Lepisosteus oculatus: one gene and its partner. The protein of the gene in region 1 binds, or shares a complex with, the protein of each later gene. Links are inferred from orthologs where the notes say so. Each region holds a gene or a part of one and is shown on either strand. Other genes may lie near its edges. The genes, in order: strip1 and pdcd10a.

Region 1 (8,116 bases):
ATAGTAACATCAGATGGCATGATAACTGGAACCTCTGAGCTGTCTGCCCCTCATTACCAGCAGGTGGCGCTGTTGGCCACAGCAAATGGCACACAGATTGCTGTGCAGGTCAGTCAAATTCAGCAAGGCAGTATCAAACCCTGCTTACACAAACAGCGCATCCCTCACTCTTTTCTTTATGTGAATCGAAGTAAATGTTGATTATTTATTTGTCTCCATGCAAAATGTCCTCTTTATTTTACTGTTGATTCCAAAATTGTATATAGAAATCTACAAACTTATTGTATCTGTGTTGAACCCTCCCAAATGGAAAAGGCCAGTGGCCTTTTCCTGCGGTGGCATGGTGTTCGAGCTGAGGGATAATCTTTACAGACTCCAACTCCCCCAGCCCTGGCAGTGATCAGCCACACGTGCCACTCTGCTTGGGGAATCCTGGTCACAGTCCAGTTAATGACACAGGTCAGAGCTAAACTGGTGATGTCAGGGCAACCTGTGGTCGGCGTGCACCTCCAGTATAAAGGTGGAGCCATTCTGGAGCTAAGCCTTTTTACCTTTTGTTTTGTGAGCATTGGGAAAAAACACAAAACTCTCTTTAAGCCTTCCCCTGACTTTCCAATGAATCCATGACGTTGTCTTGTGTGTCTGCCCAGCTGGAGGAGCAGCAGACCCTGGAGGAAGCCATCAGCTTGGCTACAGCTGCGATTCAGCAGGGGAGCGTGGTTCAGGACGAGGTGATAGCGCAGGGGGGCTGCTGAGGAGCAGAGACGGCGCACCGCACAGTTGCCCCGCAGCGGGGAGCAGCTCAGAGACTGAACAGGCCAGCCCCAGCCCGACCAAAGTGCAGAGACGGGAACAGGAGCCAACTCCCCATTGTCTCTTGCCAGCTTTAACACACAACTTCATCTTGGCAGGAATTCATGGCTCAAGTGTGGAGGTTTGAGAGGGTGGCGGAAGGGTCATGTGCTGTTCATCCGGAAAACGAAACAGCCCTTGACAATCTCCAGTTGAGCAATACAGAAAGCAGGAGAAAACTGTGGACATTTTTCCCTGTATTAAAAGTAAATAATAAAAACTCAGAACTGTAAGTGTCAGAAAAGGTCTGGTATAATAGTTTTATGTCTGACTTCAAACATCACCTTATCAAACAAGAGAATTGACTGTCTTATTTTTTTAAGTCTACTAACCTAATACATTTTAGAAGACTTGGTTTAATAATTAAACTTGTTTTATACATGTTTTATAGACTTACCAGGTTACTGGCAGGGTTACTTTTAGGCATAGGCAACAGGGGAGGCTTGGAGAAGCAATTGAGAAGTTAAGAGAAGCTAATTGCTTCACTGCAATTATAAAGTGACCAGAAGTAGTCAAGACCTCAGTTTAACAGCTCATCAGTAGGTTGGCACCCCTACGCCCCGGTGTCCCTGGTCTCTACACTTGGACGTTTTCATACAAAGAGAAGAGTGCTACCTACTGGTCCACAAACTGTTATGAACATAACCTTTCACCTGGCTACTTCTCATCATTGTGTGTGCTGCAAGATGTTTTAATTTAGAATAGAATGTTGTTATCTTTAATATCTCTTATCTTTGGCTGCTGGATCTGAGATTAATGTTAAGGTGTGGAATGTGGGAAATTAATACAGTTGAGACATTCCCCTTCAAGTGTTGTAACGTCACTAGGGTGACTCATCTCCAACAAACATGAAAGAGCTGAGCCTATGGCAGCAGCTTTTTGTGGAGATCTTGTGCCTCGACAAGGATTTCTGTTTCTTTTGTCTTCCTTGTCCCTTTAAAGTTGGGTTAGAAGGAAGACTGCAGTTTTCTGCTTAGGCTGGAATGACAAGAATGTTTTAGTTTCCATTTAATGTGTCATTTCACCTTTTCCTATTCTTTTACTCCAATGTTCAGATCATCATTTTGCTTGGGCCAAATGCAATCAATATTGGTGGAGGTGTGACATTATGCTGTTCCTGGAAATGTGTGTCATAGAGTGATCTGGTGGTTTCACTGCATTCACTGTACCTTTATCTGCGCTGGCAGAGTAAAAATGTTACTTGAGAGAAAGAGTGTGACAAACTATAATACTGCACGTATTGCGATCTGGGTTTCAGAGAGGAGCCAGGGGTTTTGCTAGGCATGTTCTTTCAAACTTTTATTAAATTTGGCAACCTGATCTTCACAGTGTACATGCTTCAGTATTTGTCAATCTCCCTTCAGATTCTCAAAGTACTAAGTACTAAAGAAAAATATTTTGGATGCATCGTTTTCAAATTCTGTCTCAAGTAGAATCTGAGAGCATGGAAGGTGTATAGTTTTCCTTTAAGTAATCTTGTCCTTTTTATAATGTCAGTGTTTTACAGATAGTGATAATTCCTTGCATTTCTGTGATGCTTTTGAGATCTTGGCAGTCCTTAAATAATTGAATAATTGGTGTACTTAATGAAAGCTCAGTCGTTGCCTTGCTATGGTATAACGAAGGGTCTTTACACCATTATTTCCTGGTGTTTTTCACACTAAAACCCCTCCACCGTCCCTAGAATGACCACCAATGCATTTTTATTATATGGGGTGGGGGTCCTCCCCGAAACCAAACAAGTTGAACATTAACACATGCTCCTCTCTTATCACAGTTGTATTATATAGGTTTGTCTACAGCTTCTGGGTACAGAATAAGAGCTCAGGAAAAGGACAGAGCTGCTTTGTTTTACCATTGCGTATCTTTTATTTTGTTCCAGGCCTGTTCTGGCACTACAGTGTTGCCTTGCAAGGCGTTTTGTATTTTGCACCAGTGCAAAGTTCAGACAACTGGAATATAACTTCTGAGGTTAAATCGTAAGTAAATGCAATACAGATCTTCCCAGCTGCACTGAATCTAAAATTGTAATGTTCTTGTCACTTTTGCGGTGGAGCAAAAGCTCACTTTATGAGGCCCTTTGTGAGACTGGGCCCTTCTTATGTGTGATGACATCTCTTTTTCATTGTTATTTTCCATCAATAAAAGGAATTTGGTTAATAATGTTTGGAGTGTGTCGTGTGTTAACCTTTGGAATGTTATTATCAGGAGTGCCAGGCTGTTCACTGTTTGTAGGGAGTTTGTATAAGGGAAAGGGTGGAACGGCGGCTGTTTATTGCTGATGTCTCACAGCTCTTGAGTCCTGGGTTTGATTCAATACTTGGGCACCTTCTGATTGGAGTTTGCATGTTTTCCCAGTGTTTGTAGAGGATTTAGTGTAGTAGTACTTAAAACACATGCTGGTTAGGTTAGAGTCAGTAAAATGTGGAAATGTGTGTGCCCTGCGATGGACAGATGTCCAAATGTTTTACCATACAGTATAGATGGGCTGAATCTCCTGTCCAGGGGATCCAACCTGCCTTGCATCCTACGATAGGCAGCCTGAATTAGGTTGTAGGCTGTGTCTGAAAATTTCTTTTTTTCTGGGTGGGGTTTGGGAGAGATGCTCTGAGACTTTGGCATCTTAAGACATGCAGGTTATGCATAGTGGCTCGCCTCCAAATTGTACCTTACCTCAAAGGGTAGTAGAGGCATTTTCTCAAGTGATTCAGCCTGTGTCGGATCAGTAGTTCTGCTACAAACAGCGTTCTTGTGCGCACAGCACTGCCAGGAATGGAAATAGGAAAATAACAGCTTAGCTATGTTGTTTTTTGGTATTTTTTTAGTTCCCTCCTTGGTGAGGGAAAGTTGGTGGGTATGTTATTCCATCTTCCTAGCCTCTCTGTATCCCTGTTCTTTTACTCCAATGTTCCTCCCATCCCCAAATCCCACCATTTAACCCCAGGGAAGGGCGATACTGGTCCCATAGCCCTGGCGTGTCAGCAGTTTTAATTCCAGCACAGCTCTGAATATCTAAAACAGGCTTGGGACCAATGTAACAACTCCATCCAGCTCTCGAGGTGCTGTTGCTTTGGAGAGATGGAGAAAGCCTGCATGCATATCCTACTTCCAGGTTTAGGATTTTACCCACTGCTGATTAATTCTCTTATATGGGCCAAACACAGGCAAAAGCCACCAGGCAAAAGCCACCAGAAACAGTCATCCCAGGAACACGTCATTGCTCTTATTTAGAGTCACTGTCTGCTCCTCAGGCTGGGACAGGAAATTGCATACTCTATACTGCAGCTCTATTGTGTTTCCTCCCCCTGGCCTAGGAGAATTGATAGCTGCTGTGCTTCTGGCAGGTGTGGGATTAGATGTTTATTCCTGGAGTGTGTATTGCAGTGAGAAAGGAATAGAACTTCCACAAACCAATCGTATGGCAGATCTGCTTTGAACCTGCAGGGGACCTTATTCAGAATACTCTATGGCAAAGGTAAAGTCAACCCAATTGGTTAGCTGTGAAAACTGGGCCATGAGACACAAGCTAATGAGAAGTGCATATTTCTGACTTAGAACAGGAGAAATAAAACCTCAGGTCCTTCGTCAGGTAGTCGGCATCAATTACATAGCAGCCAAATAGAAATAGCCCCATTGGTATGTGAGCTTCCTTATGTTCTTGTTTGAGATTTTTGAATATTACCATATTGAGTTACTAAAGTTAAAGTTTTATCATGCACCTGTAAGTCAGGAGTGCTTATTGCAAATGATTGCCTAAAAAGAAGGACCGCCAGCACGAATATCCCCTCTTTTTTAGGGGACCAGTCCGTATTTCACAGCGTCTCCATTAACACCTTAAAACAGCAGAACACAGCTGGTTCCGTGCTCATCCGCATTCCTCAGCCGAAATCTCGTGATGTTTCGTTGTCTTGTAGGCTTCTGCCTGTTGTGTGAGCAAGTAGACTCTCGCGAGATATGTGGCTGCCGGTGGAAGGGGGGCTGGATGGGTGTAGCAGGGAAGCAAAGATGGACGTCGGAGTTGGCGGAGCGTTGGTTGTCAACAATAAACAGCGAGCGATGTTACCCAACAAAGGCAGGGGCGAATTCATCCGAAATCAGAGAAAGGACTCGGAGGTAAGGGAGGGGGTGTTGGTGCGATGCGATTTGTTTTTGAAAACAAGCTATCTTAACGTTCTTGGCTTAAGAAGAACATACACAGGATACAGCCTTGGTTGCGCTTAGTACATACAGCAGAAATACTCGCGTGAACCTTAAAAAAAGACCCAATAGCTTCGTGTGCATTTTATATATTGAACTGATCTTCTGTCGTTATTGTGTGAATGGGGAACGCGGGGAAGAGAAAGCGGAGAAGCGACGTTATTAATGCAACACGTAGCAACTAATGGAAAGAAGTTCGTCTCCTGCTGTACCACTTGGTGGTATTCGCCCTTGAAATATTTCCATTCTAGGCATTATTTTATACTGTTAATGTATCCCTAAATTAATAGGCGTTGTGATTTTAAAAAGCACAGACTGAAACGCAGTGTATATCATGGGGATTTTGGCAAAAAAAAATCCACATCCCCGGTTTCATTCTAGCCGGTGAGGAAGGATGGGAACTGGCGTTGTCATGGGAACCCGGTGCTGTCGCGGTGGTTGGAGGGGGATTTCAAGGCCAGATCGCGTACCACAGTAAAATGAGGACAGATGGGATATAATGTTCCCTTAATCTGGCAAGACATCCCCCCACCTTGGCCAAAGAGGTGCTGCCAATATTATGACACTTTCGTCTAAAATGACGAAATGCATAGGACCAATCTAAAACGTCCGGGAGCTAGTAATGGACTCGTTAAACACGGTCTGTACAACTACTACAATAAAATGGTGTTAAATCATAATCTTAAGTAAATGCAGAGTGGCATGGAGGTTAGTGAGGCACTAGGGTATCTTCCATGTGGAGCATGCACAGTCTTACTTTGGCGTGTGGGATTTCTATAGGCATTGACCACTATCTTTTCATTTTTTGCTCCAGGCTTATTGATTTCAGATTTCTTACTGGGACATGTTTAAAATTTGTTGTTACCACATTGACTGAGGTTTGTAATTGGTAATCAACCTGAACCTTGTACTTGTTTTGGTGCTCCTCCTCATCGATGTGTGTATCCCCTTAAATATAATCCTGTTGGCTTCTACAGAAGGAAATACAAATTTGATGCATTGCCAGATTATTCTGAATTAGTCTTTTGAGGGGTACATTTTTAGTATCCGGCATTCTCCCATACACTAAACCCCTCATCAATTTTCTTGGATTGATCACTGATATCTAAAATTCTGGGTAACAAAACCACAGCCTCAGTCTGTTCACTAGTTATATTAAGATCAGAACTACACGCCTGTATGCTTAGAGTAATGTGGGTGGCAAGGTTCGATTCTAGCTATGGGTGCCTGTCTGTCTGGAGATTTCATGTGCCCCTGTGTTTGTGTGAGTTTTCACCAGGTGCCATTATTTCTTCCAGCTTCCTAACTGAATGCGGGTTAGGTTTAGTTTAGGATTAGGAGGCTTTAAATTGACTCTTTCCAGATGAAGAGTTTCAGGAGGATTTGCCTTGGAGGAGGTTTGTTCCCAGTACTGGCTTTGTGATTACAGTGAAACAGAAGTCAATGGGCTGGATGGACTTAACAGTAAAATAACTGGCTTCTGAGAAAATTGGCCCTGGTGTGAGTGTGTGCATGTTTATGCCTGTGACTGTGGGGCTCTGTGATGGACAGCTGTCCTACATTATCTGTGATTGGATAAAGTAGTTAGAAAATAGAAGCATGAAGTTTGGGGCCACTGACTTGTACACACAACATGTTGTTGCTTGGCTACAAAAGCAATCCTGAACAGTCAGACAGAAGTTGTGTTCATGTTTTCCAGGGTTTTTCTGAATCTCCTGATCTAGAGTTTGAATATGCTGATACAGACAGATGGGCTGCAGAGCTTTCAGGTGGGTTGGATATTTAATATATTATCTTCTGGGTGCTTAAAAATATAGAAGCTTAATTTCACAAATATTCCTAAAGAATATTTTTATTGCCTTTGTACAAAATTGGAGCAGTCATGTTTTAAATTGCAGTATTTTATTTTTTTCTTCTGTTGTTCTGTAGCTAAGACTACTATTTCCTTATGATTGTTATACTGGACAGTGATCTTGTTTGTCACGAGTCAGTTTTCACTAGATTGCACTGTGCCCTGTCTTGTTTTCAAAACCAATATTGGTGTCTTTTGTTGGTTTGTTTTCTAGAGCTGTATAGTTACACAGAGGGACCAGAGTTTCTGCTCAACAAGAAGTGCTTTATTGAAGATTTCAGGACACATGGTACTTTTGGTTTAAAACAAGGAGAACATCTGTTGAGTGGTTAATGTACAGCACCACAGGCTCTGCTTGATTACTGTTTTCATGCAATTTATATTTCTGTATACACCGTGTCTAATATTATTTTGCATTTATTGTATATCATTTCTGTAATATCACTGTCTAATACTCATTTTTTATAGATACAGCACGGGTTTTAAATATAGCATTTTAATATACAGTAGGAGTGAAACATTGTATCAGAATCCAACACAGGTTCACAGGTTCCCATCCAATCAATGTTCACAGATGCAGTGATAAACATGGCTTTGAGCTCGAAGTCCTTCAGGCTGGTCATCAGTTCTATGCTTTGCCTTCTCAGTGACAGATAAGAAATGGACAGAACTGGACGCCACTCAGCACAGGGCCCATGCGATGCGGCTCCTGGATGGGCTGGAAGTGACGGCCAGGGAGAAGAGGCTCAAAGTAGCCAGAGCTATTCTGTACATGGCTCAGGGTAAGTCAGCAAATAGCTCAGGAGTAGCAGCTTGTGGCACTGTCTGCCTCATTAAGGACTGTCCTGTGACTGCTATGGTGTGATACAATTGGGAAAGAGTCTGTATTGCACAAGCTAAAGGGCATTTTCTTTACATTGAGTTGGATATTGAAATTATTGTGTTACAAGCAAAAAGAAGGAATTTTACCCTAACTTGTTCATTTAATCACTGATATAAATATTAGCCAAAATCTCAGTCAGTTGCCTCTTGAACAATTCCAGCGTGTTGGCTTCAGTGCCTTGCCTAGGCAGTTAGTTTTAGACACCACCTTCATAACATTCCAAAAGGAAAGGTATTAACTCTAGAAATCTTCAATTGCTTCTTAAATGGAGAGGGTGTTAGGTGTGTAATGCATAGAGTTTGGATGGCGGCTTCTCTGAGGAAGTGACTCTG
Region 2 (8,450 bases), on another chromosome or scaffold:
GGTATAATCTCTATACAACCTTACTGTAAATCTGCAGTCTGATTTGTCTATCATACCACTCACTCCCCAACCCACACACATTCCTCTTTTTTGGGGGTCTGAATCGCATTGATCCTCATTAAAGCAAAACTGTTTACAAATCAAAAGCAAAAGAACAGATTACATCAGATCAGTCTTAATTACTCTTTTGAAGTCAGGGTTAAAGGGTTTGCTCTTTAAAGCACAGGACAAAGACTGAATAAAGTTCATTCTTTGAAAAGGAAACCCTAACATCCAAACTCTTCTTCTTAAAAATCCTTTTCAACACAATGTTTTGCGTTTTGAAACGAAAGGCCACATGGTAAAGAGACACACCAAAGAAAAGAATTATTATCAAAAATACCAAGATCTGTTAAAAATGAATTAAAAAAGACAGGTGTTAGGACTCCATTTCACCTCCTTTCAGCAATGGATTCCATGTGCAGAATAGAGCTGTGGAAATGTGGCCTCCAGCATTCTCTGGGAGCTGCTTAAGATTTGGAAAAGAGGATTTTGCGATACACTTTTAGAGACAGAGAGACTCTTGAGGCAATCTCAACCCTTGCCATTTTAGGATTACAGAGGACAGCTATCATAGATTTTGCAGTGCTGTCTGCATAAACTCCAAATTACAGCTTTTGTTCTTAAGGCAGGCACTTCGGTCACAACATGGGAGGTTACTGCTGTCTGTCCTGAGAAAGTAAAAAAAAAACAGCTGGAAGGGTCACTTTAACACAACACCAAACGAAAATAAATGCTACAGATTCCAGTCAGAGGTACAAACAAAGGATAAACAGCATAAACACAGACCACAGGCTTGGGCAGCTGTGTCACTCATTGTAGATTAGCATTTGCAAATACAAGGTTTTTTGTGCAGACATCTCATTTCAACCAGATCATGTCAAAGGTTAGAAAGATTTTCCACCACATATTGAAAAATTGCCTATCGCAGCTCACTCCCACCTTAATCCATACACCTCAATGTGCTTACTGTATTGTATATTAAAATCAAACATGTAATGAAGAATTGTCATGTTACAATCCTCCCACATACTGCAGATGTCCTACTTCAGTGCTGCACATTATTATACCGGACTCATTCCTGGTACCTGGGATGTCTAGCCAAAACAGGCTAGAAGATTCTTTATTTGTGGAATCTGACAATCAAGAGTGCCGACAGCAGCACAAAAAAACAGCAATGGACTGTTTATTAATTCACCACAGAAACCAACAGAATAACAATCAGGTTTTCCTCATCGTAGAAAAAAAAAACGTTCTCAGTCCGACTTAAAAAAAAGCTTCAGTCTTCTCTACCGCACATCTGTTCGGGCTCATTAATCATGATAGCTCTGATTCTGTAATGAATGAAATGCATACATATCCCCATAGGGTTACCCAACTTAACCCCCGTCAATCGTCAATTGATGGCAACCTGCTTTGATCACCGTTGCAAAAACCCTTCACCATAATTTAGATTCTCCAAAAATAAATTAGAGTATTCCGTACACTCCTGCACAATCTTATCACAGCAGGCAATCGCAGTGACAGGTCCGATCCACAGATTTAACAAGAGGTAGTGGAGTTTTCTTATCCCAAGTTTAGGAGGAGCAGGGAGGGCCAGTGTAGACAAATCCACAGTCTATTACAAGTCCCATCAGTTTCCTTCCCTTACTTGTTACCACATTCCTTCTAACACCAATCTTATCGGACCGAAGATGGGAAAGCACCTCCATCTTCAGCGTTCTGACCCATTGCTCATTATGGGCGTTACCGACATGATTCAGCAATGGGAAAAGGAGACAGGAATAAATCGATATAAACCATCATTCTGCATCAGGGGCTAGCATGACCATTTTATTACAGCATCGGTTCATTTAATTTATTTCTCAAGCAGACGCGTAACTGAAATACTGTTGAGGGTAGGGGTTCCCCATGCAAGTCAAGAGCACAAGGCAACTGCTCGATGTTACATTTCTAAAAGAAATTCTTCAGCAACTTATTTTGAAAAACAGCAGTATTTTATTTGATTCTACGGCTACATTGGAAAGCAGATTCCTTCACTCTTCAGAATTATTTAGTTTTATTTGAACTTACTATCTTACCTTTCTAATACACGTCCCCTGACCAAACAGCACTCAGGCACATAATGATCATGCCTGATGCTGGATACCTCATTGTTAAACAAAGTTGCTTTTAAATTAAAAAGAATGTATTAACGCATGCAATGCTAATTCAATTGGATGCCTTAAATTGGACCTTTTTTTTCCAGGCCAACATTAGTTCTTCATTTAGATGATACCAAAAAACAAACACTGAAACTTCACTGATGGCAATGCACCTACTGTATATACTTAAAACATCACCAAATACAAGAAGGTGATATGGGAATTTTTTTCCATTCCATGACATTCCTTCTCCTTGTGATCCTGAATGCTAATGACAACAGACTGTCCTTCAGAGAGATGCAAAAGCAATTAAACTTTGAGCTCCATCTCTACCGCCTCAAAGCATAATAAGCCAAATCGTGTGCAAATGAATTTGATGCAGTTTCATAAATTTACTCCAGACACATACCCGTCTTCTGTTTGTGTAGATGAATGCGCCATTTTATGTTGTTCGGGGCAGTGTGATGAAAGGGCTCATCTGGGAGATTAAGTTAAGCTTTTTTTCCAGCAACAGCTAGGAGGTATTATTCTGTACTTCCTGGCACCCTTCTGAGGAACATTCTAAATAAACTCGATTTTCGTAGCCCCACTTAAGTTTGCTTAGCACAATTAATAAATAAACCACAGGATTAATTAAATAAAAGGTCAACGGGAGCTTTAGAAATTATTAGAAACTCAATATGTGAATATTGCTAGGTTTTCCAAGCAGCCCATACTGCGGTAGAAGATATTTATCACTAGAAATGGGGATAAAAAAGGCAATTCAATCTCTATAAGAAGCAAACGTTGTTTTAAATATGACCAGACTTTAGATCGTTAAAGCAGGGCTTAATGTGCCAGGGTTATAGAAACCCACTTCTTTAACAAAGCATGCATGTCTCCTTGGACTTTTCTGTGCCTGAATAACTTTCTTAGACACCAGTGAGAGCTGTGCTTCAGAGATTTAAACAGTAATTGGATCTGCTGCCGTTTAGATTAATTGAGCTGAATAAAAGACTTGAAAGCTCTGAAAGGGATGTAGTGGCTTTTAAAATACACACAACCAAAGTGTTGTGATGTTACACTGGTAAAATACTGTATGCAAAACAGCAATTCATGAAAAGAATAATACTAAAAAACCTGAAAAAGAATCGATAATATATTCCTAAATTATTTGCCATAATCAATGACTTGATGTATGTTTACTGTCACACAGTTTCACAGAAAATGAAATGGTTCTAGAATTAAAAATTAAAATAATCTGATATCTTTTTTTTTTCTGTAACGCAGGGGCATTTCCGTCCTCTGCCTGCGCACAGATGGAAGAAAAGCCCCTACTTGCATGTGAAGATTTAGTCGGTATTAACATGACGCAAATTAAAGACCTCACAATGTTAACACAATGTTCCGTTTTTGTTACGCTAAAACGGAAACTGCTCAGTGATTTTAACATTACACTTAGCGAAGGTTCAAGTCGAATCCACGATTTCTAGGGGGGGGCGGGACATTTTTTTTATCGTAAACAGATTGGTTGCTTATTTTGTGAGAATAATTTTTGAAGGTGTGAAATCCACACCCGTGCTAGGAGACACGCCAGAATTTTAAAAAAACTAAAATCTATACAAATAATAAATTTCTCCAACAACGTACACACCAGCAAGGACAGTAACAAAATAAAACAGTATTTAACTAGCTGCTTGTTTGACACGTACTGTATACTAGAGGATTTAAACTCGCATACGTACATCAGAATAGTGCGATTCAGGAAGATCTTGTGAATATATGTTCTTGCCATGTGGTTATATACCAATTTAACGTACTAACGTTTTACACCCAATTTTACGTCTCACTTTTTACTTTTTAGGTGGATTATCTACAGATCACAAATGCCAAGACGTTTAATCTTTAAAAATATACATTTACAATGTCACGAGAACGTCGGCTTGGCAACGGATATATAGATATACAGCATTTTACATAACATACACAGCTTTTTACGTGAAATGTAAGAAGATAAGAATTCGGAAAGCTAATCCGTTCATTTGTATATTCTCTACGCCATTCACGTGTATCACGAGTTTAATATAAACTACCCAGGAGTCATGCACACCGTCGGCTCGTACATTATTAATATGAGATTCGGAAAATAACTTCACACACAGGAACACACAAGAATAGGTATCAGGAGAACAAAGGACCACTTTGCTATTCGCAACCCGCCTCTCTTGGTAACTAAAAAAAAAAGGCAGATTTTAGTCATTGCACAGCTAGTAAAAAAGAAAAACCCCAAAAGCCAAGAACTGGAGAGAAAAATAAACTTAGCCCTCTAAGAATAAAAAAAACCCACAGACACATCATTGACAGCGATGCTTCAGTTAAACGGAGAGCGATAATGACAACATGTTGATTCGTTTCAGCACAACGAATTAGGACTTGGTTTGACATTATAAGGCATTTAAATCCCTTCCTTACCAAGTGCTATTCTGCTAAGGATGCTTAGCTACAGTAGCACTCCGCCTCTCGGTGATGCTTATTCCTTTTGGACGCCGCGGCAGGTTCAAGACAGACCTAAATATTTTCACAGCCCGATCCCGCCTGCCTCCATACCCATTGGCTACCTCTCCCGTCCTACCTTCACAACACGCTAGCCTTTATGCTAGCCGTATTTCCTCTAGCTACTTCGAACTGCGAAGGGGTGGATTTCAGACCTGTCAGTGAAGATCAATCGGGCTGCTATCGCGTAGTAAAAAAAAAAAGAGGGCAAAGAAATGCATGATAACATGCGAAACCCGCTGTAGTCAATGAGCTACCCATCCGTGCACTTTATTGGCCGAGAGGAGTGTCACTCACTGTGAGGGGGCGGGGACGCGGAGGCGGCGAAATGCTTTCTGGTACTTGGAGTTTTATAGCACGTAAAGCGCCAATCTTCGCCGCATTAGAAAGGCTCTCCAAAGACTACAATTCCTACTACCGACCTAGCCGTCTATAAAGCTTTTTCTGGTTGGTGTACTGGGGACCTCGCCTCAACTCCCTGCGTCTCTGGTCAGGCAGAAAACTTCCGTCTTCGGTAAAAAAAAAGAACACATAAAAACGGAGTTTGGGGGCTTATTCGGGACGGAAAGAAGCAGGTACGTACTAAATATCAAAAACCGCGCTGAACGTCTCCTTTTTCTGCCAACTTCGTGTCGATGGGTTGTCACTCTTCGAGGTGCCCAGTGAAGTAGTTAGCGAATAGGTATTTCTAATAATGCTGTTGTTATTAATATCGTTAGCTTTCGTCTCGTTGAAGGTTTCCTGGTTCTAGCTTGTCCCCCGAAACAACATCCGCCTGACCGGAATCGGAACCGCCCGGGTCTGATACCGAAAGGCACCTCGTCCGAGTGAGCCAGAGGTCTACGGGCCTCGGCTCGGCCTGTTGTTGTTGGCGCGGAACTCGGTTAGAAAGGTGTCCGCCGGCCCAGCCCTGGGAGCCGGGGGGCTGGTCCCTCACCTGCCGGCAGCCCAGGGACAAGCCCGGCCACCCAGGCCTTGGTATGCGGATAGGACAGATTTTAAAGAGCTGTTTTTTCCGGGTTCTATACGTCCTCTCCTGGTTGTTTGAAACGACATAGCTATCGCGCTTAGATACAGTTTCGCGTCTCATTTTAAGCTGGAAAAGTTTCCAGCAGTGATCAGTGAAGCCTGGCTGGTGATTACCAGCCTGAACTGAAGGTGCCGTATTTCCCATTTTCTGTTTAAACCCGTGACAGCTTTGGAGATGGCAGACCGCCTCGGAGTGAACAGTGCGGTGAGAACAGTAACAATCCCAAAAGTGAATTAAACACACAGCAGGGTCAAATCTCGTTTCGTGTTCTTTATAGTTCGACTAGTGATGTTAAATCGCTACTTTAAAATGGGTTGCATCTGTGCGTTTCGCATTAGTCATTAAGCTATATGTGCATGCGTATCAGTTATGCTGAAATAAATAGTCTCAGAACTTTTAGACTTTTAGAATCATGAGAATATGATAGGAATTGATAGTGATATTTAATACCTCGCCTTACTGAGTTTCCTAACAGGTTCCTTCAGGCTGGGTTCAGCAGTGTGTGAAATGACTCTGTGGTCATCAGGCTTCTTGTCTTTTCACTTTCTAGAATGAACATCATCAGCTCTTTTTTTTTATTCCCTAAGCAGTTTTCAGTAATGCTTCAAAATAAATGCCCGGGATGTGACCTGCTCTTTATACAGCACTTTATGGGAAGCTGATTGCCATCAGTAAGTGTTTGGGATGACCCAAATTCAGTTTGGAAAATATTTATCTCAGTGTGGAATTTAATAATTGAACCAGCTGTATGCAGATATTCCCATAATGGGAAATGTGCTGTCCTCCCTCCTACACTGTATTGGTAGATGTGTGAATGATTATACTGTCATTTGAATCAAATCCCTGCCGGTACAACCTGCTATATATACTTAGCAGCTTTGATTTTTGAATCCCAATTTCCAATGCTGCGGAACATACGTTCAGCTTAAGCTACACATTCTTCTTGTGTCGGGGGCTACGTGCTGCGTGCAAACGTTTTTCCAGATTTTGTAAATGGTATTTGTAAATACCAACACTAAATGGTATTTGCCAAATCTTATTTACTGGAAGACATTTGACTATCAGGACTATGATTTGGGTGTGACTTCAGGTGACCTGAAGATCTTTCTTAGGAAAAGCTTGTATATTTTACTGCACACCTTGTGAACACCTGTTCATATGAGGTTGTACTTAAATTCTGGGGCCCTGGAACTATTCCCATTACAGAGCACTGGCTGGGGTGCAGAAACAGAGCCATCCAGGATAAGACTGAGGTTCTTGTCACTTCTAACATCCCAGATTTTGCTCAAAGAGTTGTTGTGTAGGCGAGTTAGGCAGAGGACTCCCAATCAAGTTCCCTTCTCCTGCTGATAATATGCAGCACTGACCACTCCAGTGTGTTCAAGGAATAAGAACATACCTCCCTGTATATTGGGGCGGAGCGGTGGCTCTCTGGCTAAGGATCTGTGCCTGCCTGTGGCTGAAAGGTTGCCAGTTCGTATCCCATGGCCGGCACAGGAATCCGACTCTGGGGCCCTGAGCAAGGCCCTTCACCCCAACTGCTCCAGGGATGCTGTATAAATGGCTGAGCCTGCTCTGACCCCAAGCTTCTCTCCGGCTGTCTGTCTCATGAAGAGCAAGTTAAGAGTATGTGAAAAAGACAAATTCCTAATACAAAATCCCGTATATGGCCAGTAAAGTGATCTTATCTTGTATCCAATCCTGATTTAGTGCATTGATTAAATACTTGATCATTTAAGGCAGTAAATTTAAGAGTGCAGAAAAAATTGTGATGTACGTTGTTTTTTAAAAGAGCTGTGTGGGAATGATTAGATTTTTTTCTTCCGTTTTCTGTTTTTGCTTATTTGGTAATATTTCAAAGACAATTCAATCTTATTTTTGCAACTATAAAGGGGTTTTGTTCTATCTCCGTGTACTACCCCTACCCTGACAAGCAAACTGGACAGAAAGCAGTCCTATTGACAGAGGCACTGAGAGAGCCTAACTGCAATTTCTGTATTCAACTGAAATGCATGCCGGTATTAATATTGAATTCACAATCAGTTGAAAGATGTCAGCAGATTTAACAACATGCACAAGAATAAATTAGGCAGAGACTGAGACTGTGAAAAGGTGAAAAGTGGAAGTAAACCTGGACAGACATGAAGCATCCAGAGCTGGTCAAAGGATTTATAGGTCCTAAGGACGATGGCGCCTGAACCTGTCAAAAGCAGAGAGGGAAGTGGAGGGTTCATTGCTTGTTTGTTCAACAAGCAGTTTATTGCTTTTGCTGTAAAATCCACCTCACAAATGCAGCTTGTATCAGATGGAACTCAAGATTGGAGAAATGTGCACACTTCTTAACGGACATAAAAAGTGACATGCTCACTTACAGTCCTGCCAAAAATGGAAGGAACTGGCTACAGTTACATTTTACTTAAAATATAACACTATTAATGAGCGTGGTTCAGGTAAATGTTTCATGCCAAGCATCTGACCCTTTCTTGTCTTAACTGATTAAATGTCCAAGAAAATTTTATATCTGATGAAATTCCCCATTCATTACCTGGGATGAATTTTTTACAGTGGGACTCCTTTTTTTATTAACCATTACAAGTGGAGCTTTATCATGAGGAAACAAACGTCCAGCCTACTATACTTGGACCTCCCTATTGATTGGTGTGTTGTATACAGCAATTAGTGCATCATTCAGCAGGTTCTGTTGT

Evidence for each region.
Region 2: strip1 (region 1) and pdcd10a share a complex: the UniProt entries of both Homo sapiens proteins name them as parts of the core of STRIPAK complex. The link is inferred for Lepisosteus oculatus from reciprocal best matches to the Homo sapiens genes STRIP1 and PDCD10.

The regions. Positions count from the first base shown.
Region 1 is NC_090700.1:37,169,808-37,177,923, forward strand, and holds the start of strip1 (striatin-interacting protein 1 homolog), read left to right. Parts: upstream 1-4,817; 5' UTR 4,818-4,857; coding exon 4,858-4,965; intron 4,966-6,748; coding exon 6,749-6,818; intron 6,819-7,115; coding exon 7,116-7,190; intron 7,191-7,548; coding exon 7,549-7,683; intron 7,684-8,116. Other genes in the region: znf76 (zinc finger protein 76), read left to right, coding at 1-108, 651-755. UniProt on the Homo sapiens protein: Plays a role in the regulation of cell morphology and cytoskeletal organization. Required in the cortical actin filament dynamics and cell shape. Part of the striatin-interacting phosphatase and kinase (STRIPAK) complexes.
Region 2 is NC_090708.1:4,827,337-4,835,786, forward strand, and holds the start of pdcd10a (programmed cell death protein 10-A), read left to right. Parts: upstream 1-5,151; 5' UTR 5,152-5,290; intron 5,291-8,450. UniProt on the Homo sapiens protein: Promotes cell proliferation. Modulates apoptotic pathways. Increases mitogen-activated protein kinase activity and STK26 activity. Important for cell migration, and for normal structure and assembly of the Golgi complex.